Linked DNA regions of Oryctolagus cuniculus. The protein of the gene in region 1 interacts with the protein of each later gene in a biochemical or structural test. Links are inferred from orthologs where the notes say so. Each region holds a gene or a part of one and is shown on either strand. Other genes may lie near its edges. The genes, in order: RXFP3 and RLN3.

Region 1 (17,185 bases):
TTGTGGTATTACTTTATTCATATTTAATTTGCTCATAATTAATTCCTATTAATTTATGATGCTTCTGGCAAATCTGCCCAAATGTCTCATGCTGGAGGATTTGCTACCTTCAAGCAGCTTATTTCATTGACACAGGGAAAAAATAAGTCCTTTCTAGTCCACGCTCTTTTTTCCCTCCTCTGGAGTTGATATTAAGTCTTTCAAAAAACAGCCTCCGGTTTCTGCTGTGATCTTCTGTTCTACAGGCTAAGCAGTTTTTCGCCAACCATTCCTCTTCAGCTGCTCCTAATAGGGTGAGGTTTTTAGCAGTCTCCAGAGACGAGCAAGGCTTAATAGAATGATCACAAACTTTGGCATCAGGCTGGTTTAGAATCCTGGCTTTGTTATCCAGCAGCAAACGGACTTCCTTCAGCCACATCTGCCCATCTGCACATTTAGAATGGTTGTTCCTACCTCAGTCATGAGTAATGACACAAAACTCCGAGAGTGCTTCCCACTGCACTAAGTATTTCACCTGTGTTCATCAGCAGTCCTGGGAGCTGGTGCTGTCACTCACTGGTCTCATTATGAGGATGAGGAAACTGAGGCAGAGAGTTCTAGAACTCACCTGAAATCAGCCAGGTCACTAGTGGCAGAGCTGCGCTTTGCACCCTGGTACTTTGGTTCTGTTGCTTCCTGTGCCCACAGCACCTAGGCTGGGCTGGCCCTGGTTGGTGCTCAACAAATGACAGCGAGTGCACCAGACTACTGCTAGTGGTTCATCCTCCTGTTCCCCCACCCCAGGTCTTCTCTGGTCTTAAGCGTTTGCCTGTACCACACCCAGTGAGCCTGACTAGTGCAGAATGGAGATTTGTCCTTCTGTATTCAGGAGTTAATGCTGTGCTGCTATCTGACCTCATCTCGGAGTCTGGGCGTGCACTCATGGATTGCCTCCATTGGATTTCTAACCATCCCAGGTCTTTGTTGCCAGGAAGGAAAAAATGAAATGAACTGTCTTTGAGATACTGTAGTCGTTTGTCCCATACATAGTAGAATTTATGGGCTCAGAGCATGGCCAGGCCCCTGCAGCATCAGCTCATAGAGGCAGTGATCCTGGGAAGAGGAAGCATGTCCTGCTTGTCCTCTGGAAAGCTTTGGGTCCTCTTACACACAACTGTTGGGTGGATGAGGGGCTCAGGAGCACTCCTAGCATTTGTGGAGTCCAGCCCGCAAGTATGGATGCAGACCCAGGTCCACAGCCCGTTCGTCTTCCCTTCTCCTTGCATTCTTATTTCTGTCCAGCACCTTGTGAGTCCTTGTGTGCACTTTGCCTTCAGCACATCCATGGTCTCCCACAACCCTTCACCCCCTGCCACTCCTGCAAACAGCCCTCCTTACCCCCTCTCATACTAGGGTCTCATAGCCTCAGTCGTGTGCTTTGCCCTCTGGGGGGTGGATTCCAGAAAGGATTTGTGAGGGATTTGTCAACGGACTCAGGGGTGTTTGGATGAATTATTCTGAGGTCTGAGGTACTGGCACATGATCTAGAAGGTGGGGGGCACAGGCTGCACTCAGCCCGGTGGGTTCCCTGTGCAGAAAAGAGCGCAGCTGGAGGGAGACAGGTAGAGCTGAGTCCTCTAATGATAAAACCCAGAGCAGGGGCCCAAGGCCAAGAGCAGCTTTGCAGATTACTATCCCAAAAACACAGCCTGCAAGCAGATCCGTTGTCATTCAGTGTTTCAGCTTCCTCCTTCCAGTGGTCTCCAAACGCAGCTAGATTCCTGTCATCTCAATTTGTTCTCTTCCTCCTCCTCCTGCCTGGGCTTGTACTTTGCTGCTGCAATTCTCTCAACTGCTTTCTCCTTGATTAAAAAGCCTGCTCTTTGCTGCTACCTGGTTATCACAATGGGAACTGCGGCAGGGTTAGTGTTGTAGGCTGGGACATCTGGAACATCCTTGTGGAGCAGGCCACATGTGTGTATGTGCAGAAAGGGCAAGAGGGCTGATGGAGGGCTGGGGGCTCCTTCCTGTTCACTGCTTACCTGTGTTACCAGCAGGACACACATCTTCCTTACCTGACACCAAGCACTCCAGGCTCCTGTAGTTTATCCCATTCTTTCCAGATCTCTGGTGCTGTCCTCACCAGGCTGGGCTGTCTTCTCAGACCCGAGTGCATTGTTGTTTCATTTATCAACCCTCAAGCATTATTCTCTCCAAACCAGCACTTCTCGTGCTCTGCCACCCTACTCCTATTAGTGCCTCACTTGCAGATAAAACTCTCCCGTTCTTTATAGGATGCATGTGGACAACTACCCTATCTTTGCCATTCTTCTTTCCACCCTCTTCTCCACATCTTTCAGCCTCATCATCCATCCTGAGAAAATGAGGTCATGACTGACTTAGAGGAATAATCAGGAAAAACCCCTGCTTCCATGGGGTTTTGCTTGGGGTATTGAGGGTCACATACTCAGAGGACCCCGTGTCAGTACTCTGAGCATTATAAAAGAAGTGGAACCAAACCACCTTTCTTGCTTCACCTATCTGCACTGCCTTTGTAAAGTTTAGAAATGAAACATCCTGGGACCAGCACTGTGGTATAGCGGGTAAAGACACTGCCTGCCCTGCCGACATCCCATATGGGCTCCAGTCTGAGTCCCGGCTGCTCCACTTCCGATTCAGCTCTCTGCTATAGCCTGGGAAAGCAGTAGAAGATGGCCCAAGTCCTTGGGCTCCTGTACCCACGTGGGAAACCTGGAAGAAGCTCCTGTTCCTGGCTTCGGATCGGCTCAGCTCCAGGGGTTGCGCCCATCTGGGGAGTGAACTAGTGGATGGAAGACCATTCTCTCTGCCTCTCCTTTCTGTGTAACTCTGACTTTGAAATAAATAAGTACATCTTTAAAAAAAATAAATGAGACATCCTGCAGGGTTCATACTGATTTACTGTTTCTCTAAAGACTGTTCTGGTATTGGAAGATTTAGAAATGACTGGATGGGGGAGCTGGGAAATTGATCCATCCTATATGGTCCCTCAAGAAGTTAACTCTGATCAATGACAGGGCATCATCTTTGTTACAAATGAAACTTCTTTTTTATTTATTTATTTATTTTTATTTTTTGACAGGCAGAGTGGACAGTGAGAGAGAGAGAGACAGAGAGAAAGGTCTTCCTTTGCCGTTGGTTCACCCTCCAATGGCCGCCGCGGCCGGCGCTGCGGCCGGTGCACCTCGCTGATCCGATGGCAGGAGCCAGGAGCCAGGTGCTTTTCCTGGTCTCCCATGGGGTGCAGGGCCCAAGCACCTGGGCCATCCTCCACTGCACTCCCTGGCCACAGCAGAGAGCTGGCCTGGAAGAGGGGCAACCGAGACAGAATCCGGCGCCCCAACCGGGACTAGAACCCGGTGTGCCGGCGCCGCTAGGCGGAGGATTAGCCTAGTGAGCCACGGCGCCGGCTCGAAACTTCTTTTAGATGGGACATCAGATAGGATACTGAGCTGAGGAAGGGAGCTATAGCAGTTATGATCCCCTCCACACACCCACTAAAACATGATGTGCAAATACTTTACTCATTGTACTCAGTTCCACTGAAGTTTGACCAACTGGGTAGAATCCAATTTTAAAAAGCCTTTAAGCACTGTTGGGACCTCAAATGCTTCTTCTCAGTACACTAACAACCTGTTCTCTCTGGCAAAAAAGTTCTGTTTCCAGACAGATAAAACAAATGTAAGGACACATATAACTTCAATGGAAATCCTGGGAAGGAGTAGGGGAAGCCAGTGCTTTGCTTCCTGCCTCCTCAATCAAGCATACATTCCAGCCTCCAGGCCTTCGGTCACACTATGCCCTCAGCTTCAAATGTCTTCATGACTCCCTCACCACCCTGCATCGGGCCCACACTGTGCCCTGTATGTCAAATACCCCTTTGACCAGGAAGTCTCTGAATCCCTCCTGGGGAATCATCTTCCTTTCCCCTGTCTTCCCTCTGAGTTTTCTTTTAGCCTTGCTGTGGTGCTCCCTGTCTGATCTTGCTTGTGTCCATGGCTGGCTGCCCTTCTAAACATGAAGTCAGGAATGTATCTGGACCATGGACCTTACCTCAGCACCCAACACAAGGTTTGGCAAGAGGTACACGTGAAAACTATTGGCTGATGTCAGTTGAGTTGACTATTTCCTTTCCAACCCCTTTGTCCTTGTGGAGGACAGAAATCACGGTCATGGATCCCCCTGTTATGGTCTCAGAAGCCTTCAGCTTTGGATTTGGACAGGCAATGCTTTCCACAGAGCTGTTTCATATGAAGACCTCACTTCTAGCCTCTTCTGTCTTTCCAGTGCCCATATAGCATAACACACACACTCCAAAACACTTTTCTGAGTTCTAAGCTACTTACACATGAACTTATTGTCCCAACTGAAGTGATAAGTTGTTTTAACAGGAGTTTCTTACTAAAAGTTTAGTATGGGTGTTATGCAGGGGTATGCTACTGTTGGTTCTTACTAGTGTTCACTCATTTATTTTGTATTTTGGGGGACACCTCCACTTTTGTTATCCCAATTGTTATTCAGTATCAACAAATTTTCTCCCCAAGGAAAGACTAATTTGACTACTTCAGAAACATGAGTCTGGTTTCTAAAAGAACTAACTTCTCAAGACTGCTCAGGACTGAAATTGGGCAGTTTTGTTTTTGTGGCAAGGGATGAGTGGTTAGCAATTTCACTGTGTTGTGTGACAAAGCAGGACAAGCAAGGGAGGCTGGAGTTTTACATCTCACATTTTGAGCTTACATCTGAAACACTGCAGAAAAATTTCCAACAAAATCACTCAGCAATTCTACAGCTCAGAGACATGTATTTTCTAATAACGATTTATTGTATTAAAATAACCACAATACTGCCTACATTGCTGGTTTCTTGACCCCAAACCAAATCATCAAGGAGAACAGTAGTGCTGCTATCAAAGCAAGCATATGAATGGGGACGCTGAGGTGTGATCCCAGTTCTCAGAGCAGCTCAAGACAGGACTTTGTGAGGGTCTCCAATATTCAACGGCTGTGACTAGAAGAGAGCTGTCATGAGAAATCTGTCATTCTTCGGAGACAGCCACAGAGACTGGAAGTTGGGGGGTGGGCGGGATTCATCACACATGCTCAATGTGCAAAGCACAAATGGAATGGGTTAAGGTAATGTCCTATGGGAATTCTATTTCTGCTTTCTCTTGTGAACAGTATGAGCAGTAAATAACCCACACCTGATATTCCGGGGCGTGCCCTCAAACCAGCACCTCCCCTCCCCTCCTCCCTTTAGGACAGGTTTTGCTTCTCTTCCCTTCTGTTTCTCACCCTGCCCCTTCTCTTGAAAGATCAGACTTCAGCTCCGAGGATTTGCTTGGCAAGAGCCCCCTGCACATTGGAACAGCATTGCTAGCTCAGCCTCCTAAGAACGGCCCTGAGCCACGCCTCTTGTCTGGGCCACAGCCTCAAAGGGGAATCCGGATTTTCACGGAGGGAAGAGGAAGGGCCTCAGGAGCGCCCCCACCCTCCAGTAGAGCTCTGGTAGGCGTTCTGGGCCCGGCTCACCTGCGGCTCCCAGAACGGAGCTCAGTCTCCAGGTACCCAGAGAGCCCTCAAAAGTGAAGCGCCAGGGCTTTCAGCCCGCGCCTGGAGCTCCACTTCCTGTTGTTACCAAATGAACAGGTGAGCCCACGTTTTCCTTCTTGGGACAGTACCCCGACGTGGTTCTCTCCTCAGTCCCTGTAGTCAGCTCCCTCTCGCGCGGCCACACTACTCTTAAGTGAATCGCTCCCCCTTGCTGGCGGCAGGTGTTATGCTCCTGGTGACTTCTGAGCTCAGAGGCCGATGAGGTAGGACGCAGAAAGTGCCCAGCCTCCCAAAGCAGGGTGATCAATGCTACAATGACTCGGAGGGAGGTGCTTCTCCTCCCACACTCCCCCTGGGAATGGACCAACACGCCCCCTCTTCTAACAAGGGGGAAAGTTTCTTGCCTCTAAAACTCCAGGCTCTCTAGACACTTTGAGTTGGACCTTTGCACAGCCACAGCCTCCAGGGCCAAAGCGTAGAGGGAGGGATCTGAGAGAGCCGCACCTCTCGCTGGAGGCAGCCGGCAGCCATTATCAAAGACTTTGAAAGTCGCTGGAAAAAATGCGCTCCATTGTGCACCTTGTGGCTGAGCCTCACTCTCAAACCCTTGCTTCTCTGCATTCCCGGTGCCGCTTCTTTTGTGGGCGCCGCCACACTGGAGCACCATCCCCTTCCCACCTACTTCAAGGCCATTTTGCCCAACAGACCTCACACCCTGGGCCTCCGCCGGCGTTAGTAGGCGGAGCTGCTGGGCAGCAGGTCGTAGTGCCCCCCGCTGTAGACCACGACGCCAGGCGGGTAGTAGAGCAGGTCGGGCTCGGCGGCTGCGTGGATTGGCGCCAGGGCCTGCAGCCCGTGGTCTTCGGGTTCTGGCTTAGTGGTGGCGGTGAAGGGGCGCATGCTGGTGAGCGAAGGCGACGCGATGCGCCACAGCAGGCTCTTGAGCGCCTTGCGGAACTCACGGCGCACGAGACAGTAGAGGATGGGGTTGAGGCAGCTGTTGGAGTGTGCCAGGCACACGCTCACTGGGAATGCGTACACCTGGCACAGGAAGTACTCTTGGCTGAAGGGCACCGCATTGAACTTGATGAGGATGCTCCAGGTGGTGAGCGCCTGGTTGGGCAGCCAGCAGAGGAAGAAGGAGAGAACGACGATGGTCACTGACTTGGTGACCTTGGCCCGTCTCCGGGCGCTGGCTCCCGTCAGGCCGCCCCTGGCCGCTGTCCCTCCTTCGGTCCCCACCACACGACGATCGGAGATGAAGCGCACCAGCAGCAGGTAGCACAGGCTGATGACGCCCAGAGGCAGCAGGAAGCCCAGCAGCACCTTTTGCGAGTGGTACAGGCCCAGCCAGAACTGCCGGTCGCCGCCCAGCAACTTGTCCGGGAAGCGTACCAGGCACAGCTCGTCGCCCATCACCTTGATCGTGGTGGAGAAGATGGCATTGGGCAGCGAGGCCAGCACGGCTGAAGCCCAGATGAACACGCACAGGGCTTTGGCCGAGAAGCAGCAGCTGTCTCCCAGGCTTTGGCCGCAGCAGTCGCACCGGCTGTGCCCTTGGGTCCGGTGGCTCTTTAGAGCCGAGGCCACCGAGTAGTAGCGCACCACGCTCATGGCGGTGAGGAAGAAGACGCTGGCGTACATGTTCATGGACGTCACGACAGACACGATCTTACACATGGCGTTGCCAAAGGGCCATCTGAAGTCGAGCGCATTCTCCATGGCCCAGAAGGGCAAGGTGAGCACGAACTGGAAGTCTGTCAGCGCCAGGTTGGTGACGAAGAGGTTGATGGAGGACTTGCGCCAGCCCTGCTTGCTCTTCATCAGGTACAGCACCAGCAGGTTGCCCGCCAGCCCCAGCGCGCAAACCACCCAGTACACTGCGCTGATAAGGATCCGCACCCGCGCTTCCGTGTCCGCACTCTCCGCCGCGACACTGCCGGGGGGCGCGCCGTCCGGCAGCTCCAGCCCCAGCTCCCACCACAAGTCCTGTAGCTGCAGCGACCCGTTGACACTTGAGTTGGCAGCTTCCAGGAGGTCCGGTACCAGACCCAAGAGTCCTGCGAGCTCGTCCCCGCCGGCCGCCGCCTTCTTCATGGTGTTCATCGCGGCTGTCGCAGCCACCTGCATGCGCAGGTGCCTCTAGGGCATGTTCCGGGGGGCGAGACTGTAGGGAGCACGATTGGCAGCGGGTTTAGTCCCCAGGCAAGCGCGCGGCCAGTGCGCGGGAGCTTTCAAAGTAGCCGCTGAAGACAGCGCCTGGGAAGCGAGTGCAGATGGGGGTCAGAGCGCAGGTTCTGGAGTTGAACTCAGCGGCTGCTCCGGAGAGGGGCAAGAGACCAGAGAAATGCAGCTCCCCAGGCGAGCCAGCGGTCGGCGTCCCAGGCTGCCTGGGCCGGGGGCGCAGTCACCGGGTCCCCATGCATGCACGCCGCTGACTGCCTCCCTCCGTTCCCCGCTGTCACTTAGGGCGCTGGCGCCTAACCCACCCAGCCGCCCAGGGCCCGCGCCTGCCGTTTCCAATACCTTTGTCGGTTTTTCTCTACTGTTGCTGCTGAGAGAAAATGAGGTTGGGATGTTCTGGCTCCCCGGCTCTGACTGCCTGGAGGTCCGCGGGTGTCTGGATCTCTCCGCTATTGCCAACTCCGAGAGAGTTGCCGGCGGCGCTCGCCGGAGTTGTATCAGTGCTCGCAGACCCGCGGCGGCGGACCCCAAGGAGCATGCGTGGCTCCCGCGCGGAGCCAGGGGCGCTTTCCGAGGTGCTGAACGCAGCCGCGCCCGCGGGACAGGCAGAGCGCCCGCAACGCCTCTCTGCTTTCCCAAGATGCAGAAAGAAATGATCAGAACCCTTTATTGTCCTGTATTGCTGGAGAAAGCCTATTATAATCTGAGTTCCCTTTTCCTTCCTTATTCCCAAACATTGCGGCTCGAGCTATTTGGTTTTTTTTCTGAACTTCTCATTTCCATTTTATTATTGGAACGATCCTACCCGCTTCCGTTTTTACAGCAGTGATAGTGGCCTCCCGCACACTAAGACGATGGGTCCTAACGGAATACACAGAGGCGAGCTCCTCTTCTTCTACATCTTCCTCTCTGAGATGGGGTTTTCAAAGGGTCTCCACATAGCACAACTCTGGTTACTGTTGCCTGTACTTTACTGTGTTCTGAGAAGTGAAACTAAACATAGCAGAGAACAGGTGAGCCTGCTCCACCTGTACAGTCCTCATCCAGAACTCCCCAACAAATTGTTAGATTCACCCACACTGTCTTCATCTAGAGGTAGATGGAACAGAGGAGACCTTGGGGGGTGGCTATGGATGCAGTCTTCTAATTAACACTATTATTATAACCATCTATCTCTGTAAGGTGTTTTTCAGACCACTGGGAGTAAATTCTAGGGAATCTCTTAAATGCCTTTTGGCAAAGGAAACAGTGGAAACTGACTGGCTTCTGAATTTTGTGTTGTTGAAATTCCAGGTCAATTTCTCTGGTTAAATATGCTTTTAAAGAATGGATTTAAGAAATTTAAAAATTAAAAATGTTCCTCATTGAGACTAAACAGAAACAGAAGTATTGTAAGCATACAGTGATTGTCCTCACTCCTGGGGTAATGTGGAACTTGAGGCTTTGCTTGTGGAGATAAAATGAATGTGACTTCTAAGAAAAGAATATATAAAAAACACTTAGTAGTGAAGAAACATGGTGTGTCCCCCACCCCATAAAAAAAGGGAAACAGAAAAAAACCTTGATTCCCAGGCCAGAACACAGGTGGTTAGGAAAACTTCTCTGTGTGGATGCTAGATTGCTCTATCTTTTCACTAGAGGGCGCCAGGGCTTTAGAAAAAACAGAACCCAAGCCAAGCCCTCTCCTTTCCTCCTTGTATGCTCTGATTCTTCCTGAAAACACTTTATTCCCTGTTAGCAGCCCGACCTTCACACTCACTTTCGTTTTACTTTTTGCTAGTTCTTTCTCTGAAACAGTTTTATCTTTCATAATAGTGCAAGGTGTTATCAAAAAACAAGAAAGCCTATCCCAATGGCTAGACTAGAGTTTGATGCCTGACTCCAAGTGGTGATTCCAGTTTGCTGCAAATACAGACCCTGGAAGGCAGCAATGATGTCTCAAGTAGTTGAGTCCCTGCCACCCATATCAGAAACCTGGGTTGCATTGCCGACTGGCCTGTTGTAGCTATCTTGGCAGTGAACTAGAAGATGGAAACTGTTTCTTTTTTTCTCTCTTTCAAATAAATAAAATAAAATAAAGGAAGCCCGGGAAAAATTTGAAATCCCTCTGTTGTTAAGTTATTCATATGTTCACAATAATGGCCCTAATCAACCAAGTATACAGCTTTTTGTCTTAGTGCTTCTAGCCCTACCTAGGACCATATGAAAAAACTTCAAATTGTGGAAAAATAGAACTGCAAGGTAAGTTTAATTTGGTGCAAAAATTTTCAAATTTATGTATAGGTTTTTCATAGTATACATTTCCATGAACTTTTTATGAACCTCTTATCATGAATTTCAATGTTTTGGCACCAAAATAAACTTATTCTTAATTAGAGTTTCTACAAATTTGTTGAAGTACCCTTATATCTACTTTTTCTGCCTCAAATCATGTGAAGTTTTCACATTTTATTAAGAGTATTGCAAAGGGCTTGATCTGATGCATCTCACACTCATTGGCCATTTACTCTTTGCTGGGCACTGAGTGAGACTGAAGGATTTACTGTGACAAAAACCCTCTGTTTTGATCCTCTCTGAAACTTTTCCTTGAAATAAGTGTCCAATATAGCACTGTCTGTGACTGTATTTTTTGTTTAGTCTAGTGCATGACTAAGTTTTCTAGAATGTAATGATCTTTGGCAGATACATGGACAATAATTTTAGTTTGATTTTCCCTCTAATTTTGTTAAGATTTGGGCACATAATAAGCCATTATACAGTACTTTGATGAGTTGTTCCAGTTTCAATTTTTTGTTATCTCAAGGGTTTTCTATTTATGTTTGTTTTGAATGAACCATGAAACAGGAAGGATGCAGACCTTGTTTTACCACATGCATTGTGTTTTTCTCTATCCCCATCTTCCCCTCAAATTAAGGTTGGGTTGTTATGGATGTCCAGAGAAATATCCTATTACCTACAAGAAGTCCTTTCTCCTTCTTAGTGACAGAATGTGAGACCTTGAAACCATTTTCTGCACTGTATTTGTATGCTTGAAGCCATGTGAATTTTGTGAAGCCATGAGTGTGGACAATGTAAAAAGTATATCTTAGTTAATAACCACTGGAAACCCATAATCAGAGAATGTAAGAGAGCACTGGCTTTAGTCTTGGTATTTTGCAGAGGAAGCCTGAAGATGTGAAGGAATTTTCCCAGAATCCTATGGTTAGGAAGTAGCCACACTAGGTCTAAAATATAAGTGACTTCTCTTGTTCCATGTTCCATTTCTCAACTGGATCTGACTCAATCAGAATTTTTCAATAAAGTAGTGTGTGGTAGGCTGAATCACGAAGTACATCTGCATTCTGACTCCTGGGCCTTTGAATGTTACTTTATATGGACAAAAGGACTTCAATGAAATCAAAGGTCTTGACATCAGAGAGATGACTATGGATTATACAGATGGTCCCAATATATTCACAAGAGTCTTTATAAGAGATAAGAAAGAGGAGTCAGAATCAGAGAAGAAGGCAATGTGATGACAGAAGCAGTGATTAGTTATGATTTTTGAAGACAGAGGGAGGGACCACCAGCTAAGAATACATGTAGCCACTAGAAGCTGAGGAAAGCAATAATATGGATTCTTTCCCAAAGCCTCATGAAGTAAACCAGCTCTGCCACTACCTTGACTTTATGCCAGTGGAACTAATTTCAGACTTCCGATCTCTAAAGCTGGGGAAGAATAGGTTTTTCGTATCTTATGCCACAGTATTTGTGGTCTTTTGTTATAGCAGCAATAGAAAACCAGGAAGGTGGTACATAAGCCTGGCTTGAACATTACCTGCTATTCTGAGTTAAACATATTAGCTCATCTTAACATATTGTTCACACATCAAAGAGCTATTCACTGAGTACAAACTTATGCAAGGTACTAGGCCATGTAAGGGAGATTTAGTGAAAACTGTCATCTACCAGAACTCACATTCTAATAGTTGATACGAATATGTAGAAAATTAGAATTGTAATGAATTGTATGATTAAAATTATCACAAGAAAGAAAACAAAGTGAAATAGAAAGTTATAAAATTATATGCAAGAAGTAACTTTTTGGGACTGGCTTTGTGGTATAGGAGGTAAAGCCATCCCTGAGGCACTAGTGTCCCCTATGGGTTCCAGTTCTTTTTTTTTTTTTTTTTTGACAGGCAGAGTGGACAGAGAGAGAGAGACAGAGAGAAAGGTCTTCCTTTGCCGTTGGTTCACCCTCTAATGGCCGCCGCGGCCAGCGCACCGCACTGATCTGACGGCAGGAGCCAGGTACTTATCCTGGTCTCCCATGGGGTGCAGGGCCCAAGGACTTGGGCCATCCTCCACTGCACTTCCTGGCCACAGCAGAAAGCTGGCCTGGAAGAGGGGCAACTGGGACAGAATCTGGTGCCTTGACTGGGACTAGAACCCAGTGTGCCGGTGCCACAGGCGGAGGATTAGCCTAGTGAGCCGCGGTGCCAGCCTGGGTGCCAGTTCTTATCCCTACTGCTCCACTTCCAATCCAGTTCCCTGCTAATAGCCTGGGAAAAGAAGTAGAAGGTGGCCCAGGTACTTGGGCCTATGCCATCCATATGGGAGACTTGAATGAAGCTCCTGGCTCCTGGCTTTGGCCTGGCCCATCACTGGCTGTTGTGGCCATCCAGGGAGTAAACCAGAAGATGGAAGATAGATCTCTCTTTCTCTCTTTTTCTCTCTCTCTGTCTCCCTCTCTCTCTCTGTAATTCTGACTTTCAAAATAAACAAATAAATCCTTAAAATGAAGTAACCTTTAACTATTCATGAACATCTTGATTTAATTGTAATACCTCTTTTCAAATGAAAAGTTTTAAAAATCAACATGAACTTCCAGTTGCTATGAGAGCATTTAATGAGATTGAATTTTATTTTTTGGAAAGGTATTAATAAATTATATATCTTATTTTTTCCATTGTTAGCTTTTATAGAGCCCTCTGTCAGCTTGTCTCTGAAGGCGTGCATCATTACATAAGGAGCACCAGGGCCCTTTCTGTGTATTTCTCATCTCATTAAAACAGTGTCATCCTTGTGTAGGAAGGGCATGTGTCATTATCATCGTTTGCTCTTAGTATTGAGCCTAGATATTTCACATGTGTGGATACAGGACAGAATAGTTGATTGGATTCTGCATTTGGGTGAGATCATACAGTAAAGGCAATCCAAAACAGGATGCAAATTTTCAAAGGTAATTTAGAAGTTTCCTCTAATTATGCACTCATTGAAAATATGCAAATCTAACTCTGTTTTATAATACTTTATTTTCTTCTAAGATTCATCTATGTCTAGCTTAAAGCCACCTGTACTTCAAAGTCAGTGTGAAACCTTTAAAAACATTGATGCCAGTGCCAATCTTAGACCAATTCAATGAGAAACATTAGTGGAAGAGTAAAATGTGAAAAACTGTAGCTCCCTGATGGCTGAACCTGCTCTATTCAGCTACCCAGAAGCACATTCAAAGTATTTTAAACAGCTATTTTGCTATATGTCTTGATAAATGTGGTAGATTTGCTTGTATTGTTTCTGTATTTTTTTCATTGTAAGCATTGTTTTTCACTTCACACAATGGAAGGTGAATGGTTAGCCTCTTTTCTTCACTGTCTTTTTCCACTTATACTGACATTCCAACACCTCTCCATTTAGTTATGTTTTTTATTTATTTATTTGATGGATAGAGTTAGACAGTGAGGGAGAGAGACAGAGAAAGGTCTTCCTTCTGTTGGTTCACCCTCTAAATGGCCACTACAGCTGGAGCTATGCAGATCTGAAGACAGGAGCCAGGTGCTTCCTCCTGGTTTCCCATGATGGTGCAGGGCCCAAGCACTGAGCCATCCTCCACTGCCTTCCTGGGCCACAGCAGAGAGCTGGACTGGAAGAGGAGCAACTAGGACTAGAACCTAGCGCTGCAGGCGGAGGATTAACCAAGTGAGCCACGCCGTCAGCCCCCACTTAGTTATGTTTTACTTTGGGAAGATAAATATCTGCCCTTTACCCTGCAATGGCCATGGAAACTTGGTTAATGACAAGTCACGCAGTATGCGATGATTGATATTATTTTCTTGTGTGGCTTTTTGCCCCATTAGAATTCATTATTCTTATTTGTTCAGTGTAATTTTCACTCAAATATCCCCAAATTCTCCTTAAGTTGTGAAAAATCTTTACTCAAAATTAAAATAAAAATTGGGTTCTTCTTCATTTGAGAATGTCAGCTTCTCCTTGTCTGAAGAAACTGCAATGTTCTGATGCCTTGCAGGGCTTTGCTCCTTCTACTTGTTATCCAGGGGCTCTATAATTAGACTGAGTCCTGGCAGGGCCCAGAAAGTGAGACACGAGATGTGACTGGCAAGGAAGAGTGATGCACATCAAAAGAATTCCAGCATTTAGGCAATTTTACTGAAGAAACCTGGGAATCTTTATAGGAATGAAATCCTAGTAGTGGAGGGCATATAGTGCTGGAGGGTCATGTTGGTTGATATGAGTGCACAAAACAGAGATTCCAGATTCAGTGTATTACTCAACCTGCAGGAAGCAGCTCTAGCAGTATGCTCATGGGTTGACTGAAACAGAGTCAGAGTATCCTAGACAAAATGATATTGAAAAGCCAAAAGTTTCATGATATACTTTAGGGAGCAGCATATAGGAGCTTAGGAAGAAAGAATGATAGCAAAGATTTCCTATGTGAGATCTGCTCAGTCATCCATAACTTGCTTCCCAAGAGGGTCAAGAAGCCCCCCCCACCATATCCCTATGGCAGACGAGAAAACATCCCTGAGGGGACTTTGAAAATCTTTTTCTTTGAAAATCTTTCTGTGGTGGCTGTGATCAGTAAGCCAGGAATGGAAGAAGGAGCTGCTGCTATTGAGCTAAACTTGCTGAATTCAGTAGTGATGTCCTCCCAAGGCATCAGGGATTCCGTGGAGGCACTTAATTCCCAGAGGTGAGGTGGGACAGATTATGGCCATGAGCAGCAGTGTGAAAGAGTAATCAGAACAATTTGACCTAAACCTATACTCCTTGTTAGCTAACTGACCATTGCCTCTAGTGCTGAAATAGAAGGCAAGCTAGAAAAGTCCTACTTGGTATGCATAAGCAAAAAAAAAAAAAAAAAGTCGCTGTTATGAATAGAAGTCTTACTTGAATCAGCCCCTCCAACAATGAACGGAGTTGAGCTGATTTATAGACTTACAATCTCCTGGATGAAGAAGAGGCAGGTCTCCTTGAGGAAGAACTGTGAAATGTGTACTATAATCATTCTTACCTGTCACCAAAGAAACTGCCTTCATTTACCAGGTTGATCAGACATTAACGAAGGGAAATAATAGGACTTTGGCTATGAGCTGACACCAATTCCTGGTGAAACAACATTCCATTGCTATTCACCAACTAGAGTAGAAGCTTATAGAGATTAGGTGATCAATTATGTTTTCATCAATTCTATCATACAGAGGGCTCAATGGGTTCCTGACACCATACTGTGATTTTTCATACAGGTTCAGAAGGCATATTCAACGACTAGCATATTTACACAGGTTCAGAAGGTATATTCAACAACTGGGGCACAATCTCTACTTCGATTCCCTAGTCTATGGAGTGAGGGCTATGATATTAGAAAAGACCAAATAGAAGCTAACAGAACTGCTTCTATGTAACAACCCAAAAGCTATGCCACATAGCTGGAGGAATCTTGCAAAAATTAGATTCACATTCAAGGAGTGAAAAGATGCAGGATTGGGGCCAGTGCTGTGGTTCAGTGGTTTAAGCTATTGCTTGCAATGTTGCCATCCCATGCTGGATTGCCAGATTGAGTTCCAGCTGCCATGCTTCTGATCTAGCTCCCTGTTAATGGATGTGGGAAGGCAGCACAAAATGGCCCAAGTGCTTGGGACCCTACCACCCACTTGGGAGACCTGGATGGAATTTTAGGCTTCTGGCTTCAGCCTGGCTTAGCCTGAGCTATTGTGGCCATTTGGAGAGTAAATTTGTGGATGAAAGATTCTCTCTTCTCTCTCTCTCTCTCTCTCTCTCTCTCTGAGTGTATTTCTCCATGTGTCACTCTGTCTTTTAAATTAATAAATAGATATTATTTTTTGAAAAGACACAGCATTGGGAGTGAAGCAGCAGCTGTTTATTTGAAGGAAACAGGCACTGTTGTACCTTGCCCACATTTGCAGTGACCTGGTGGCTCACTTATTGGCATTGAGCAGCACATAGGATTTCAGCTCTCCTGTGTCCTACCAGATTTCTTCCTTTAGATTTTTTTGAGTCCTGGGCCAGGCACATTTGCAGCTCTCTTGCAAGGCATCTGCATTGTCAACATTGGAAGCAGTGAGAGACACACATTGATTCATGTTTATCTTCATGGGTTTTGGCAGAAGGACATGTAAAAACAGAAAGACAGGACAAGGCAGTCTGTCTGCAAGTGGCTGAAAGTTCTCTAACTACAACTCTAAACAATAACCGGCCAACAGATTTGGGCAGACCGTTCTAGCAGGTGCAGGCAATGAGCAAAAAATACAAGTTAATCCTGCATGAGAGACCATGCTTGGGGAGTGACCCATGAAGAGGCCATCATGAGCAATAGCCTGGAAAACCATGAATAAGAGTTTGGATTGCTTTCAAAATGTAACAGGGAGCTGCTGGCAGGATTTAAGTAGGAGTAGAAAATGCTGTTGATATCCTGTCCATCTCCCCTCAGTGCATGCCACATTCCTAGTTGACTATTTGACTTTCAGGGACCGGGCCCTCTGACTCCTCTATGGCCCTTCTCTGGCAGTCAAAACCTGCTCTGCATGCTTGTAGGGCAGCCTAGAGGAGATGGTGAAAGACCTCCCTTCCCCCAGCTCTTACATTTCAAGGAAGTGTACAATCAATTGCTGACAGGAGCCAATGCACAAACACCTTAGCTTTCTTGTCTCTTAGGTAGAGTAACTAATAAAATTCCCAGATCATAGTCATGAGTCAATAAAATGATAACTTGCTTGAAAGTATTTCCTGTATTGGATTTCTTTCCTTCCCTATCTTATATCCCTACGATACTCTTAGTGTTCTTTGGGGTCATCTCCCAAAGAACTCAGGATGAAAGTTATAGTCATTACAATCTAGTATCAGAAGTGGCACTCTTGCCAATTCCATAGTCTATTGTTTAGAGGCAAATCAGTAAGTACAGTTTACACTCAAAAGAAGGGGTTTGGGACTGGCACTGTGGTGTAGTGGGCTAGGCCTCAGCCTGAAGCACCGGCATTCCATATGGGCGCTGGTTCAACTCCTGATTGCTCCTCTTCTGATCCAGCTCTCTGCCATGGTCTGGGAAAGCAGTTGAAGATGGTCCAAGTGCTTAGGCTCCTGTACCCGCATCAGGGACCCAGAAGAAGCTCCTGGCTCCTGGCTTCAGATTGGCA
Region 2 (13,722 bases), on another chromosome or scaffold:
CCTGCAGAAGGCCCTGCCTGGCCAGCCCGGCCCCTGAGATGCTCAGGTTTGGGGTGCCAGCGAGGACCTCAGCTCCACAGGCTGCCTCCAGGCCCTGGCCCTGAGCACTTCCCTAATGCCACAGATGGGGCCACCGTCCAGCAGCTGGGACAGTGACCCCCACCCCGGCCAGCACCTGGAGTCCCCGTGTGCAGCTTCTGGGGTCCCTGATGCTAACTCACATGGCCCAGCACAAGCCGAGCCAACCTTTAAAGGCACTGGGAGTGCTAGCACTCGGCCATAGAGAGCTGCTGCCTGCGGCACCGGCATCCCACACAGGCGCTGGTTTGAGTCCCAGCTGCTCCACTTCCAGTCCAGCTCTCTGCTATGGCCTGGGAAAGCAGTGGAAGATGACCCAAGTCCTTGGACCCCTGCACCTGCGTGGGAGACCTGGAGGAAGCTCCTGGCTCCTGGCTTTGGATTGGCGCAGCACCAGCTGTTGTGGCCAAATGGGAAGTGTACCAGCGGATGGAAGACCTTTCTCTCTCTCTCTCTCTGTCTCTGCCTTTCAAATAATAAAACATCTTTAAAAACAAATCAGTAAAGCTACCGGGCTCTCACTCAGTATGATAAAAATCAACACCCACAGCTCAACAAATCAACACCCACAGCTCGACGTCAACAACCATCGTCATGACGTCATGGCTACGCGATGCGGGCAGGGCGGTTCTGGGGTAGCTGCTGCACCATCCAGGCGGCCGCTCGGCGCAGTGACAGGAGACTAAAAGAATTCAGGCGAGCGACTGCCCCAGAGACCAGCTGACACAGCCCCAGCGGGGGTCTCTCCCTAGGCAATGACCCCTCTGCACCTGGGTGGGTGGTGCCCAGGGCCAGCCCCCAAGGCGGCCTCTCTCCGATCTGCAGTCTAAGAAGTGAAAAAAAAAAAAAAAAAAAAACACCGGAGGATGAGACCGCCCGCCCCCCCCCCCCCAATCCTCCTAACCCCGATCTCAAGCCCTTGGGAGCGACGCTGGAAACGGACATTTTCTTAGGAGCGGATCGGTTTGTGTGCCCACCAAGCTCAACGACCAACACAGGAAAGCCACTGCGGGCCCGGCCCGGCTGGCAACTTGCAAAAATCTACACCCCTCCCCCCTGCCTCCTTCCCTCTCCAGGCTGGCGGGTCTGGTGGCCCCGAAAAACAATTACAAAGATTCTCCGCTGACAAACGAGGATACCCATCCCCTTCCCTTGACCGCTGCGGCCTGCCGCTGCGCCAGCCCACGTGGCCCCGGGGACGCCTGCTACCCCGGCAAGTGACATGTGACCCGGCCGGCACCAACTTGACACAAAATCATGTGTGTGCTGGCCAGGAGGAGCGGCCAAAGGGATAAAAAAAAAAAATCCAGTAACAACTTCCTCAGGCGCCCTTGGCCGCCCCATGCCCAGAAAGGGGGGGACGCTGATGGGCAGAAGAGGGGGAAGCAGCAATCCTGTCACCTCCAGCAGGCACCCCAACCCCAGTCTCACTTCCCCTAAATCTCACTCAGGACCTCCGCCACCCTGCCAGGGGCTTCGAGGTCGCCAGCGCCCCAGGCTCCCAGACAGAAGACAGGGCTGAAGCTAAGGTTAGCTAATCCCCACTCAGAACCACATTCCGAAACAGGAGCTGGGGCTCCAAGGTTCCAAGGGGAACACCCCCCGGGAAAAACGCCTGCAGGGACTTGGGCGGGAGACCCCGGACTGTAGGAGGAGAAGCGGACAGGGAATCCACTCTGCCCATTTCGCAGAAGGGAAAACTGAGATCTCGCCTGCGCCAGGCCCTCCGCGTCCTAGCTGAGTCCTGGGGACGGCGGAGGAGCCCAGAGGCGCAGGTGGCCCGGGACAGCCCCACCCGGCTCCCGCAGGGGGAAGCCGCCGGCTCCGCCCACACCTTTCCGCCAGGCCCCGCCTACCCGCGGCCCGCTCCTTCCCATTGGCCCAGCCCCCCCCCAGGCCTGCCCCTTCGCGCCTCCCCATATAAAAGCCCCCCGCCCGGGCCGCGCGACCGCCACTCGCAGCCGGCCTGCGAGCGCCCGCCCCTCGCGGGTGGCGTCGCCCCGGCCGGGCCCCGGCCCCCTCCCCCCACGGCCGCCATTTTGGCCGCCCGCCCCTTCCCCCCGGGCTGTGACTGCGGCGCCGCCCGCTGCCTGCGCCCCGGCCCGGCCCGCCGCCCCGGGGCCGCCCCGGTTACCTCGGCTTCTGCCCGCTTCCGTCCGCGGAGGGGCCCCGCGGAGCTGTCGGAGGCGGTGTGGCGAGGGGGACGGGACGCGCCGGGGCCCCCGGGCTGGGCCGGGGGCGTGGGGGCGGGGGTCGGCAGGGCGCTTGTTGTTGTTGACTCGCGTTGCCGGGTTGCTTGGTCGCCACGACTACCGTGGCTATGGCGCCTCCGTTTCCCTCACCGGGGCAACTGTTGCTACCCACCCTACTGACGTCACGCGCCGGGGCGGGGCCCTGGGCGATTGGCGGTGCCGGGCCGTGCCGCTTGGCTATTGGCCGCCAGGCACGCTTTTCAACACCCTCTTGACTGCCTGGCGCTCCGATTCGGCAAGGCGAATGTCCATCAAAGGAAACTGAACACTCAAAGGCCGGAGAGTGCGCCGCTCCCTCCGGGAAGCCGAGGGCTAAGAATAGAGGGGTGGAGTCTGTGAGGCCGGGGATTGGCGAGCGGCTGTGAAACCAGCCTTCTTGTTCGACTACGGAAACGCCAATCTACACCGAAGCTTTACCGCGTTCCCTGGCCGGAGGCTGTGCGCCTGCGCCCCCCGCACAAGGCCTCCTGGGAGTTGTAGTCCGCCTCTCCGTACTCACCAAATGGAAAACAGCGAGAAAAGAAGCAGCTCTGCCTTCGGTCGTCTTCCTCCCTCGGGAAGCCGGGGTCTGGCCCCTGGCGCTGACGTCACGGGGGGAATGCGGTGACGCAGCACCGCCCTCTGTGACGTCACCGGGCGCGCGCTTCCCCACCCCCGGCCCGTGGCCCTTGGCGGGTGGGCTGGGGTGGGCTGGGGTGGGCGCGGGCAGCGGCTGTGGGCCCGGGAAAGGTCACCGCCGCCCCGGCGGCCGCCCAGGGAAAGGTCTCCCGCCGGCGGGCGATAAGCAAAGGTCAGCGCCGGCCCTGCACGCGGGCGCGGGGGCCCCCGGCTGCAGGAGCTCCCCATGCTCGCGTGCAAGGTGCAGAAGAAACCCGTGAGCAGAGTTAGGGGTGTTCCGCAAGCAGAGCCCGATCTGCCAACGAAAATGCTTTTTTTTTTTTGTATTCAGGATTTTTGCCCACTCTCAACCGCTAGGGCTGGGGAACATGAGTAACTGTTTGGGAAAACGGATATGTTAATTTGTTCCTCTATAGTAACACTGTTACTCTAGCTCGTAGTAAGCACCCTATGTGTTATAACGTCTTGTATCCCTTAAAGATACACCAAGGTGATTTTTCAAATGACGTCCGTGTTCTTGGATTTGCCTGAGTTTTTTTAAATAAATCTTTTTAAACACTTTTGGTCATTGTACCGGTTTTTTTTTTTTTTTTTTTTTTTTTTTGTCTTTAGGTTTAGGTAGGCTTCATTTTTTTAAAGATTTTTTTTTTTTAAGATTTATTTATTTGAGAGGCAGAGTTACAGGCTGAAAGGGAGCCACACACACACACACACAGAAGTCTTCCATCCACTGGCTCACTCCCCAGTTGGCCACAATGACCAGAGCTGGGCCAGGCTGAAGCTGGGAACCAGGAATTCTTCCTGGATCTCCCATGCAGGTGCAGGGGCCCAAACACTTGGGTCATCTTCCACTGTTTTCCCAAGCCATAGCAGCTGGATCGGAAGTGGAGCAGCCGGGACTCGAACCGGTGCCCCTATGAGATGCCTGCGCTGCAGGTGGCAGTTTTACCTGCTACACCACAGCGCCGCCCCTCTTTTTAAAGTATTAATTCTTCTGATGACTAAGCTGTTTTTGGCTCCTCCTTCAGTGTCTTCCCAGGAAGCTCCGAGCCCCGCTGCTTGCTGGGTTCTAATCCCCAGCTCTGCTGTGTGACACTGGGGAAGTGGCTGCGTCTCTCTGGGCTGCTGTTTCCTAGTTCCAGCCGGGTTCCGTGCAAAGGCCTGGGAGAGGACAGACAGGTCCCCTCATTTGAGGTGAGCATGGCGAGGGGTCCTCGGGAATGTGCCAGAAAGGCGCAGGGGCCTGCAGCTGTGATGCCTGCGGCTGGAACATCTGGCTAAGGTGCCGGGAGACGGGGCAGCAGCAGCTGGAAATTTCCCAGAGTGGGTTAAGCGGACCATGAGGGCTGGTTCCAGTCCTGGCTGCTCCACTTCTGATCCAGCTCCCTGCGAATGCACCTGGGAAGGCAGCGGAAGACGGTCTAAGTGCTGGGGCCCCCGAAACCCACATGGGAGACCCGATGGAGCTCCTGGCTCCTGGCTTCTGCCTGGCCCAGCACTGGGTGTTGCAGCCATCTGGGAAGTGACCCAGAGGATGGAAGAGTCTCTCTCTCTGCCTCTCTGTAACTCTGCCTTTCAAATAAATAAATCTTAAACAAACAAACAAACAAACAAAACTTAAAGATGTCCATGTCAGCAGGAAGCAGCTCTAAAGACAGATCATGGTCCCTCCACCCCTCCTGGACTTTCGGGGCTCATCTAACCCATACAACTCTTGCCTTTTTTTTTAAAGGGGTGGGGGCTGTTAGTGAAATGGTGCAGTCTTGTCTGTGGTGTGACCTACGCCCCGACACCATCCTAGGCTCTAGCCCCCACCCCGCTGCCATTGTTGGGAGCCAGGGAACCCCATGGCCCAACCACAGGTGTCAGCTCAACCCCCACCCCAATGGGATTCACTGCTCCCACTTCCCTGCCCGACCCCGGGCGAACACGTGCTCGCTCTCTCGCGCTCTCTCCTCTCGACCACCCCCCCACCCCCGGCTGGTAGGGCTTCCCCCACCCACAATAAACCTTTTCCTAAAAAAAGAACTTGTGGCCTGCGCTGCGGCTCACTAGGCTAATCCTCCGCCTTGCGGCGCCAGCACACCGGGTTCTAGTCCCGGTTGGGGCACCAGATTCTATCCTGGTTGCCCCTCTTCCAGGCCAGCTCTCTGCTGTGGCCAGGGAGTACAGTGGAGGATGGCCCAGGTGCTTGGGCCCTGAACCCCATGGGAGACCAGGAGAAGCACCTGGCTCCTGGCTTCGGATCAGCATGGTGCGCCGGCCGCAGCGCGCCGGCCACGCCGGCCATTGGAGGGTGAACCAACGGCAAAGAAAGACCTTTCTCTCTGTCTCTCAATCTCACTGCCCACTCTGCCTGTCAAAACAAACAAAACAACAACAACAACAACAACTTGTAGTCCAGAATCTTCAGCATACAAGCCTGAGTATTTTTGCTTTCTGTCCAGTGGGCATAGGGGGTGAATACTAGGCTGCTGTTACCAGCAACCCTTTCAACCTGTGTACCTGTGGTGTAAAAGGGAAAAAAAAATAATATGTATTTATTTGAGGGCTAGAGAGAGAAACTTCTGTCCCTGGCTCCTTCCCCAAAGGCCCCACAAGAGCCAGGAGCTCAGAACTCCATCCAGGTCTCCTGTGTGGGTGGCAGGGACCCAAGGTCTTGAGGGCCACCTGCTGCCTCCCAGGGTGTGCGCATGTGCAGGGCGCTGGGCTCATCCCGTCGCAGCCAGGAACAGAATCCAGCCACCAACACATGGTCACTGCTAAGCTAAACACCCAGCCCCGTTACTGAGACCTATTGAAACATTGTTGCAAAAAAGCCCTTGATACAGTGGATCCTGGGGCTCGGGAAAGCTCAGCCAAACAGATACTGAGGCACAAGGCGTTGACTGTGGAGTCTTGATGAGTTAACACCATCTTGGAATCCACAGCTGGAGTCACTGCAACCTACAGCCTACAGGACAAGAAGCTGGGAAAAAAAAAAAAAAAAAGAATGCATTGATATTCACCAAGAATGAAAAAAAAAATCTGAAAGGTTATCTCCCTGGCTCCTTGGATATGTAGAAGAAAAAGGCTTGGGACACCATCCACCTTTATCTTTTTTTTTTTTTTTTTTTTTTGCTTATATATCTCCAAGTGGAAAGGCAGGTTTTTTGTTGGGAAAAAGCTGGAGGAAGAAGACTTGGCCTTTGGAAGAAAATGCAACAATGTAGCACCGACCTAAAAGAAGTTAAGCCAATTCCAGCAACTGGGGTTCTTCCCCATAGCTGTTTCAAGCAGCCCCTACCTGTCCAGGGGACACACAGACACCTTCAAGAAACCGGTATGGATTCAGGAAAACCCGAGCGATTGGAGATCTGAGACGGACGGTTGGATATTAAATCAGCGAGGGCTTTGCCTGGGCTGTCCGAGGCGAGATGGAGGCTGGGGAGAGGCGGAACTCGGTCAGATAGGGTTCAAGGGTACGGGGGGGGGGTGCAGGTGGCCGAGTGGGAAGTGAGGCATGCCAGAAGTGAGTCTCTGGGGACAGGAAGCCAGGTTAGGCACCTGTGCAGCCGCATGTTGGAGTCTCTGGCCATCAGCAGCTATTTAAACTAAAACCTGGTGTTGGCATTTGTGTTTCGGTGGGCTAAGCTGCCGTCTGTGACGCCAGCATCTGGTATCGGAGCGCAGGTTTGAGTCCCGGCTTCTCTGCTTCCCATCCAGCTCCCGGCTGATGCACCTGGGAAAGCAGTGGACGATGGTCCAAGTGCTATGGCGCCAGTATGCATGTGGGAGACCCAGATGAAGCTCCTGGCTTCAGCCTGGCTAGGTCCAGTTATTGTGGGCATTTGGGGAGTGAACCAGCAGGTGGGAGATCCCTGGCTGTGTGTCTTTCTGTCTTTCAGGTAAATAAACGAATATTTATTTTCAATAGTAAAAAGAAGGCCGGGGCTGCGGCTCAATAGGCTAATCCTCTGCCTTGCAGCGCCGGCACACCGGGTTCTAGTCCTGGTCGGGGTGCCGGATTCTGTCCCGGTTGCCCCTCTTCCAGGCCAGCTCTCTGCTGTGGCCAGGGAGTGCAGTGGAGGATGGCCCAGGTGCTTGGGCCCTGCACCCCATGGGAGACCAGGAAAAGCACCTGGCTCCTGCCTTCAGATCAGCATGGTGCACCAGCGGCAGCCATTGGAGGGTGAGCAAACAGCAAAAGGAAGACCTTTCTCTCTGTCTCTCTCTCTCACTGTCCACTCTGCCTGTCAAAAGAAAAAAATAGTAAAAAGAGAAGTTTGGGGCAGAGCTGTGACATAGTGGGTAAAGCCGGCAGTGCCAGCATCCCATATGGGCGCTGGTTCGAGTCCCAGCTGCTCCATTTCCGATCCAGCCTTCTGCTATGGCCTGGGAAAGCAGTGGAAGATGGCCCAAGTCCTTGGGTCCCTGCACCTGTGTGGGGGACCTGGAAGAAGCTCCTGGCTCCTGGCTTCAGCCTGGCGCAGGCTTGGCTATTGTGGGGCATTTGGGGAATGAACTAGCAGATGGAAGACCTCTCTCTCTCTCACTTCTCTCTCTCTCTGTGTGTGTCTCTCCTACTCTGCCTTTCAAATCTTTTGTTAAGGTAATTTATGGAGAGTTTACACACATGCCCTTACATGTGTATCAAATGACGTTTCTACAGATTCTTGAAACTAAATAAAGAAAAAAAGGGAGCCAGTGCTGAGGCACATTGGGTTAAGCTTCCACCTGCAGCACCGACATCCCCTATGGGCACCTGCTCCCTTTCTGATATAGCTCTCTGCTACGGCCTGGGAAAGCAGTAGAAGATGGCCCAAATCCTTGGGCCCCTGCACCCGTGTGGGAGACCTGGAGATCCATTGGTTCACTCCCCACATGGCCACAAACGGCCTGGGCTGGGTCAAGCCAAACCCAGGAACCAAAAACCTCATCCGGGTCTCCCACATGAGTGCAGGGGCCCAAGCACTTGGGCCATCCTCCACTGCTTTCCCAGGCCACAGCAGAGCTGGATCAGAAGAGGAGCAGCCGGGACTTGAACTGGCGCCCCTGTGGGATGCCAGCACCACAGGTGACAGTTTAACAAGCTATGCCACAGTGCCAGCCCCACATTTTTCTTTTTAATTTGTACTTATTTTTATTTGAAAGGCAGAGACAGAGAGAGGTAGAGACAGAGAGGAAGGGAGAGATCTCCCATCCATTGGTTCACTCCTCAAATGCCCACCACAGCCGGGAGCCAGGAGCGCCATCTGGGTACCCACGTGGGAGGCAGGAATCCAGGTACTGACCCCTCACCTACTGCTTCCCCAGATGCCTTAGCAGGAGGCCGGAGCAGAAGCAGAGGAGCCGGGACTCCTCACTGGGGCTCCACTCCGGCGTGTGGATGTCTCCAAGCTTAGCCACGGAGCCGCAACGCCCGCCACCCCACCCCCCATTTCCCTGCTCCTGTGAGTTCATTTCCTGTGTGGCTCTGACAAACGGTCACAAACTGGGAGAGGTACAACAATGGTCATTTCTCCTCTCGCGTTGTTTGGGAGACCAGAAATCCCGGGGTGGTTGTTTCCTGCCTCTGCTGGTTTCCGGCGGCATCTCCAGGTGTGGCCGTGGGTTCTGAGGCCACTGCGCACAGCCTCTGCCTCCGTCTTCATGCGGCACTTCCTCTGATCTCTCTCTCTCGCTCTCTCTCTCTCTCTTAAAGATTTATTCATTTATTTGAAAGGTAGAATTACAGAGAGAGAGAGAGAGAGAGAGAGAGAGATGGAGGGAGGGAGGGATGGAGGGAGAGAGGGAGAGGTCTCCATCTGCTGGTTCACTCCCCAATTGGCTGCATTGACCAGAGTTGCGCCTATCCAAAGCCAGGAGCCAGGAGCTCCATCCGGGTCTCCCACGCAGGTGCAGGGGTCCAAAGACTTGGGGCATCTTCCACTGCTTTCCCAGGCCATAGCAGAGAGCTGGATCGGAAGTGGAGCAGCCAGGACTCAAACCAGCGCCCCTATTGGATGCCAGTGCTGCAGGTGGTGGCTTTACCCATTACACCACAGCGCCAGCTGCCCTCTTGTCTCTTTAAAAAATTATTTATTTGAAAGAGCAACTAAGAAAGAGAGAGAGAGAGACAGAGAGAGATCTGCCACCCATTGATTCAGTCCCCAAATGCCCACAACAGTCAGGGCTGGGCCAGGCTTGAAGCCAGGAGCCAGGAGCTCCATCCGGGTCTCCCTCATAGGTGGCAGGGACCCAGGTACTTGGGCCCTCACGTGCTGCCTCCCAGGTGCTGTAGCAGGGGGCTGGTTCCGAAGCAGAGCAGCCAGGACTCAAACCAGTGCAACCCGCATTGGAGACCAGGAGGAAGCACCTGGCTCCTGGCTTCGGATCGGCGCAGCGCCAGCCGTAGCGACCATTTGGGGGGTGAACCAACAGAAGGAAGACCTTTCTCTCTGTCTCTCTCTCTCTCTCACTGTCTGTCACTCTACCTGCCAAATAAATTAAAAAAAAAATGGTGCTCCAGTGTGGGCATTTGGGGAGCAAAGCAGCAGATGGAGGGGCCATCTGTAGGTGTGTCTGTCTCTGTCTGTCTGTGTCTCTGCCTTCCAAATCAAAGGCAGATAATAGGCCAGCGCCGCGGCTCACTAGGCTAATCCTACGCCCAGCGGCGCCGGCACACCGGGTTCTAGTCCCGGTTGGGGCGCCGGATTCTGTCCTCCTGGTTGCCCCTCTTCCAGGCCAGCTCTCTGCTGTGGCCCGGGAGTACAGTGGAGGATGGCCCAGGTGCTTGGGCCCTGCACCCCATGAGAGACCAGGATAAGTACCAGGCTCTTGCCATCGGATCAGCGTGGTGCGCTGGCCACAGCGCGCCGGCCGCGCCAGCCATTGGAGGGTGAACCAATGGCAAAGGAAGACCTTTCTCTCTGTCTCTCTCTCTCCCTGTCCACTCTGCCTGTAAAAAAAAAAGGCAGATAATAAATACTGAGCCTTCTGCTTCTGGCTCCAGGCCAGTTCATTAAATCAGTCAATCAGACAGGAGACTTCGCTGTGCGTTGGTTTTTCACCAGTCCTGAGCCAGGTGTCGGAGACCTGGGGGAGGAGAGCGAGGGCGCATCACCCCACATCCCCGACAGCCCCTGACCTCTGCGGCATCAGAGGAGTCAGAGGTGAAGACGAATTATTCATCAGCCTTTCCCCCAGCAGCCATCCCATGCGCCCTCTGCCTTCCAGAGCCTCAGGGGGCACCCGGGAGCCGGGCACTGGTGGCCAAGCAAAGGCCACAGGGATAAAGTTCCAACCCGAAGGGAGAGACAGGCAAATAGCACGGATTGCGAGCCAGCCACTGCTGTCAGATTCGGGCGCACCCCCGGCCCCACTCCCCACCACCAAAGTTCCCTAGGAGGCCAGGGACAGAAACCAGGGCACAGAGAAGGGCAGTGAGCAGCCTAAGGACGCACAGCACGGAGGGCGCAGAGCTGGGATTTGAACCCAGGCCAGCCCCTCACCAGAGCAGCTGTAGTTCTTGGGTTGATGAACAACTTTTGGGTCTTTAAAAAAATAATTTATTTTGGGAGCTGGCTTTGGAGCACAGTGGGATGAGCCACTGCCTCCCATAGGAGCACAGGTTCGAGCCCCGGCTGCTCCACTTCTGATCCAGCTCCCTGCTAATGCACCTGGGTAAGCAGCAGAGGATGGCCCAAGTGCTTGGGCCCCTGCACCCACGTGGGAGACCCGGACGGAGCTCCTGGCTCCTGGCTTCAGCTTGACCCAGTCCTGGCTGGTGTGGGCATTTGGGGAGTGAACCAGCAGGTGGAAGGTTCTCTCTCTCTCTCTTTCTCCCCCTATTGGGGGTCCCCATTGGACAGTGGTGGGCAGGGTTTCACATACATTTGCTGATTGGCTTGGGGCTCATGGACATAGCGGGGGTCTCCTGGAAGCTGTCCACCCCCTTAGGGGCTCAGACCCCTTCCTCTGCCAGCTCTGGGTGCAGGGTCGCAGCCACTCTGGAGGTGTGACTTGAGGCTGAAAGGTCACACCTACAGCAGAGAATCCATTAGTGGGGGAGATGCCAGTGGGTCTGGAGACAGGCTTTCCAGCCACTGCCTACGTCTGAGGGGGCGCACAGACCCCCAGTGCCACTAAACGGCCTCATCTCTTATCCTCTGCTTCACTCCCCAAATGGCCACAGCAGTCAAGGCTGGGTCAGGCTGAAGCCAGGAGCCAGGAGCTCCATCCGGGTCTCCCACGTGGGTGGCAGGGACCCAAGGACTCAGGCCATCACTGTTGGCTCTCAGGCTGTGCATTAGCAGGGAGCTTGGAATCAGAGCTGGGACTAAAACGTAGGCACGCAGGGGCCAGTGCTGTGGTGTAGCAGGTAAAGCCGCCGTCTGCAGTGCCAGCATCCCATATGGGCGCTGGTTCAAGTCCCAGCTGCTCCATTTCCGATCCAGCTCTCTGCTGTGGCCTGGGAAAGCAGTGGAAGATGGCCCAAGTGCTTGGGCCCCTACACCCACATGGGAGACCCAGAAGAAGCTCCTGGCTTCGGATGGGACAAGCTCCAGTCGTGCGGCCATTTGGGGAGAGAACCAGTGGATGGAAGACCTCTCTCTGTCTCTCTCGCTGCCCCGCGCCCCATAACCCTGCCTTTCAAATAAATAACTCTTTAAAAATACATGCACACACACTATGCAGGCAGAAAATGCAAACAGCTGTCCGTGTTCCCGTAAGCATGGAACATTCACTCTTACTATACTTCAGAAGAGAGCTGTGCACGCCAACCCTGCGGGCGGGGGTCTGGCTGAGCCCCCTCCCCTTCCCCTGGCAGGGGTCGGCTTGAGTCAAAGTCCCCGGCCCCGGGCGATGGATGCTGACGGCCAGCTGAGCCGTGTCACCTGCTCCCTGGAGAAAGGTTATCGCTTCGTCCTAGCGGGAGACGGGAAAGGTCGGAGCTGGTGGGGGCGAGGAGTGACCCAGACGTGTGTCTGTGCTGGGAGAGATAAGCGAGGTGACTCGGCCTCAGGCAGGCTGGGTGCGGGGAGGCGCCGATGTATAAATGGGTGGGGGACCGGCAGGTGGCAGAGATCCGAGCGGCCCTTGCAGTCCGAGGCGTCGCTCTGTCCACCATGGCCAAGTGCTGGGTGCTGCTCCTGCTGCCGCTCCTGAGCGGGTGGGCGCTGGCCGGCGAGCGCTGGCTCGGGGCCGCCGAGGCCCGGACTGCGCCCTACGCCGTGAAACTCTGCGGCCGTGAATTCATCCGCGCTGTTATCTACACGTGCGGCAGCTCCCGCTGGCGGCGCTCGGACATCCTGGCCAGGGAAGCCACCGGTGAGGCTGGGGCCAGAAGGGGGACGGGTGACCTGCAGGTCGCAGGAGAGATGGGGACCAGGGCGGCAGGGCCCGGGTTGGGGGAGACCTCCCCTCAGCCTGGATGGAGGGCTCAAGGGCTGGGGTGCGCGTGGGTGCCATTGCCAAGGCTGAGGTGCTGTCTGGGGTGGCCAGGGTGAGGGGCCAGATTTGCTACCTTACTGGGTGACCTCGCCTGGCCGTGGCCTCTCCTCTCTCTCTGAACTCCCTGGTGACACACTTAGAATCGCGTGGGGTTCAGAGGTCGTGCTTGACACACAACCCGTGGTATTCTGCATGTGGCTTGAACACTCATTTTCTGTCTGAACTCTACTACTTCGACCCCTGAAGAAGTTGGGGACTATAACGCCTCCCCCCCCCAAGACTTTCCATACAAGGAAATGGGCTCAAGGAAGGAATTTCACTTCCTCAGGATTGGATCTGTGTGCAGTCAGCCCAGCTCTTAACTACCAGGTCCTCCATTATATAAAGAGTAAGGGGGAATAAATGACAAAGAGAGGAAAGTTACACGTGTTGGTAAAGTTAAATAACCTGCCCATAGAACAGACTGATAACACAGCCAGAACTGAGCAGGACCAAAACCTCACGCCCCAACGCTTGAGTTTCAGCAGCAGAGAAGTTGCCCAGGCCCAGCCGAGACGCAGAAGTCGGGGTGCGACAGCCGCTGAGCCCCAAGCTCTCACACTTCTTTCTTTTCTTTTCCAGGGGAGGTCTTCCCCGACGCAGACGCCGACACCGACAGCCTGGCAGGACAGCCGGACGAGTCCATGAGCTCCAGCGAGTGGCTGGCACTCCCCCAGTCCCCCCAGGCCCTCTCCAGGGGCCGAGCCGGCTGGCAGGAAACCCCGGAGGCCGCCCGGGAGAGCCGTGACATCCAGGGTGGGCTCTCTAGCTTCTGTTGCAAGTGGGGCTGCACCAAGAGCCAACTCAGCATCCTATGCTAGCGCCCGCGGGAGACGCCGGGGAGCAGCAGCCGGGCCCCCAGCCCCGCCTTCCACTCCTCCCCCCGGCCCCTGGCCCCAGCCTTGACCATGGACGGAGCGCCAGCTCTGCTCCTCACTGGCCACAGGGGGACTCCTGACCCCAACTGCAGCCTCAAACCAAGCCTCTGCCTGGTGCACTGAGCACCCCTCCTCCCCGCACACGCCCCTGCCTCCCCTAAACGACGTCCCTGTCCCAGCCCAGCCTTGTCACCCACTCGGATGCTGGCGAGACCCCTAGCTCGGGGACCTGGTGGGGGGTAGTGCCGCGTTAAAAGGAAAATAAAAGTTGTTCAAAGGCCTCGCCGAGTTGGGTGTCGTCGCTAGGAGGGGGGAGAGGGCAGATGAGGATGGGTTTCCGCCTCCCCCGTGTCCCCAGCCCCGCCCCAGCCGAGCCACTCCGGGGACTTCCCGCCGCAGCGGGGGCCAGGGGCGGGACCCAAGGCTGCGGGGGCGGCGGCGGG

The links.
Region 2: the proteins of RXFP3 (region 1) and RLN3 form a complex in vitro, tested with the Homo sapiens proteins (2 studies listed by BioGRID, with this or other methods). The link is inferred for Oryctolagus cuniculus from reciprocal best matches to the Homo sapiens genes RXFP3 and RLN3.

What each region holds. Positions count from the first base shown.
Region 1 is NC_091445.1:59,990,769-60,007,953, reverse strand, and holds RXFP3 (relaxin-3 receptor 1), read right to left. Parts: upstream 9,333-17,185; 5' UTR 7,701-9,332; coding exon 6,303-7,700; 3' UTR 4,860-6,302; downstream 1-4,859. UniProt on the Homo sapiens protein: Receptor for RNL3/relaxin-3. Binding of the ligand inhibit cAMP accumulation.
Region 2 is NC_091447.1:62,920,003-62,933,724, forward strand, and holds RLN3 (relaxin-3 precursor), read left to right. Parts: upstream 1-12,037; coding exon 12,038-12,239; intron 12,240-12,983; coding exon 12,984-13,222; downstream 13,223-13,722. UniProt on the Homo sapiens protein: May play a role in neuropeptide signaling processes. Ligand for LGR7, RXFP3 and RXFP4.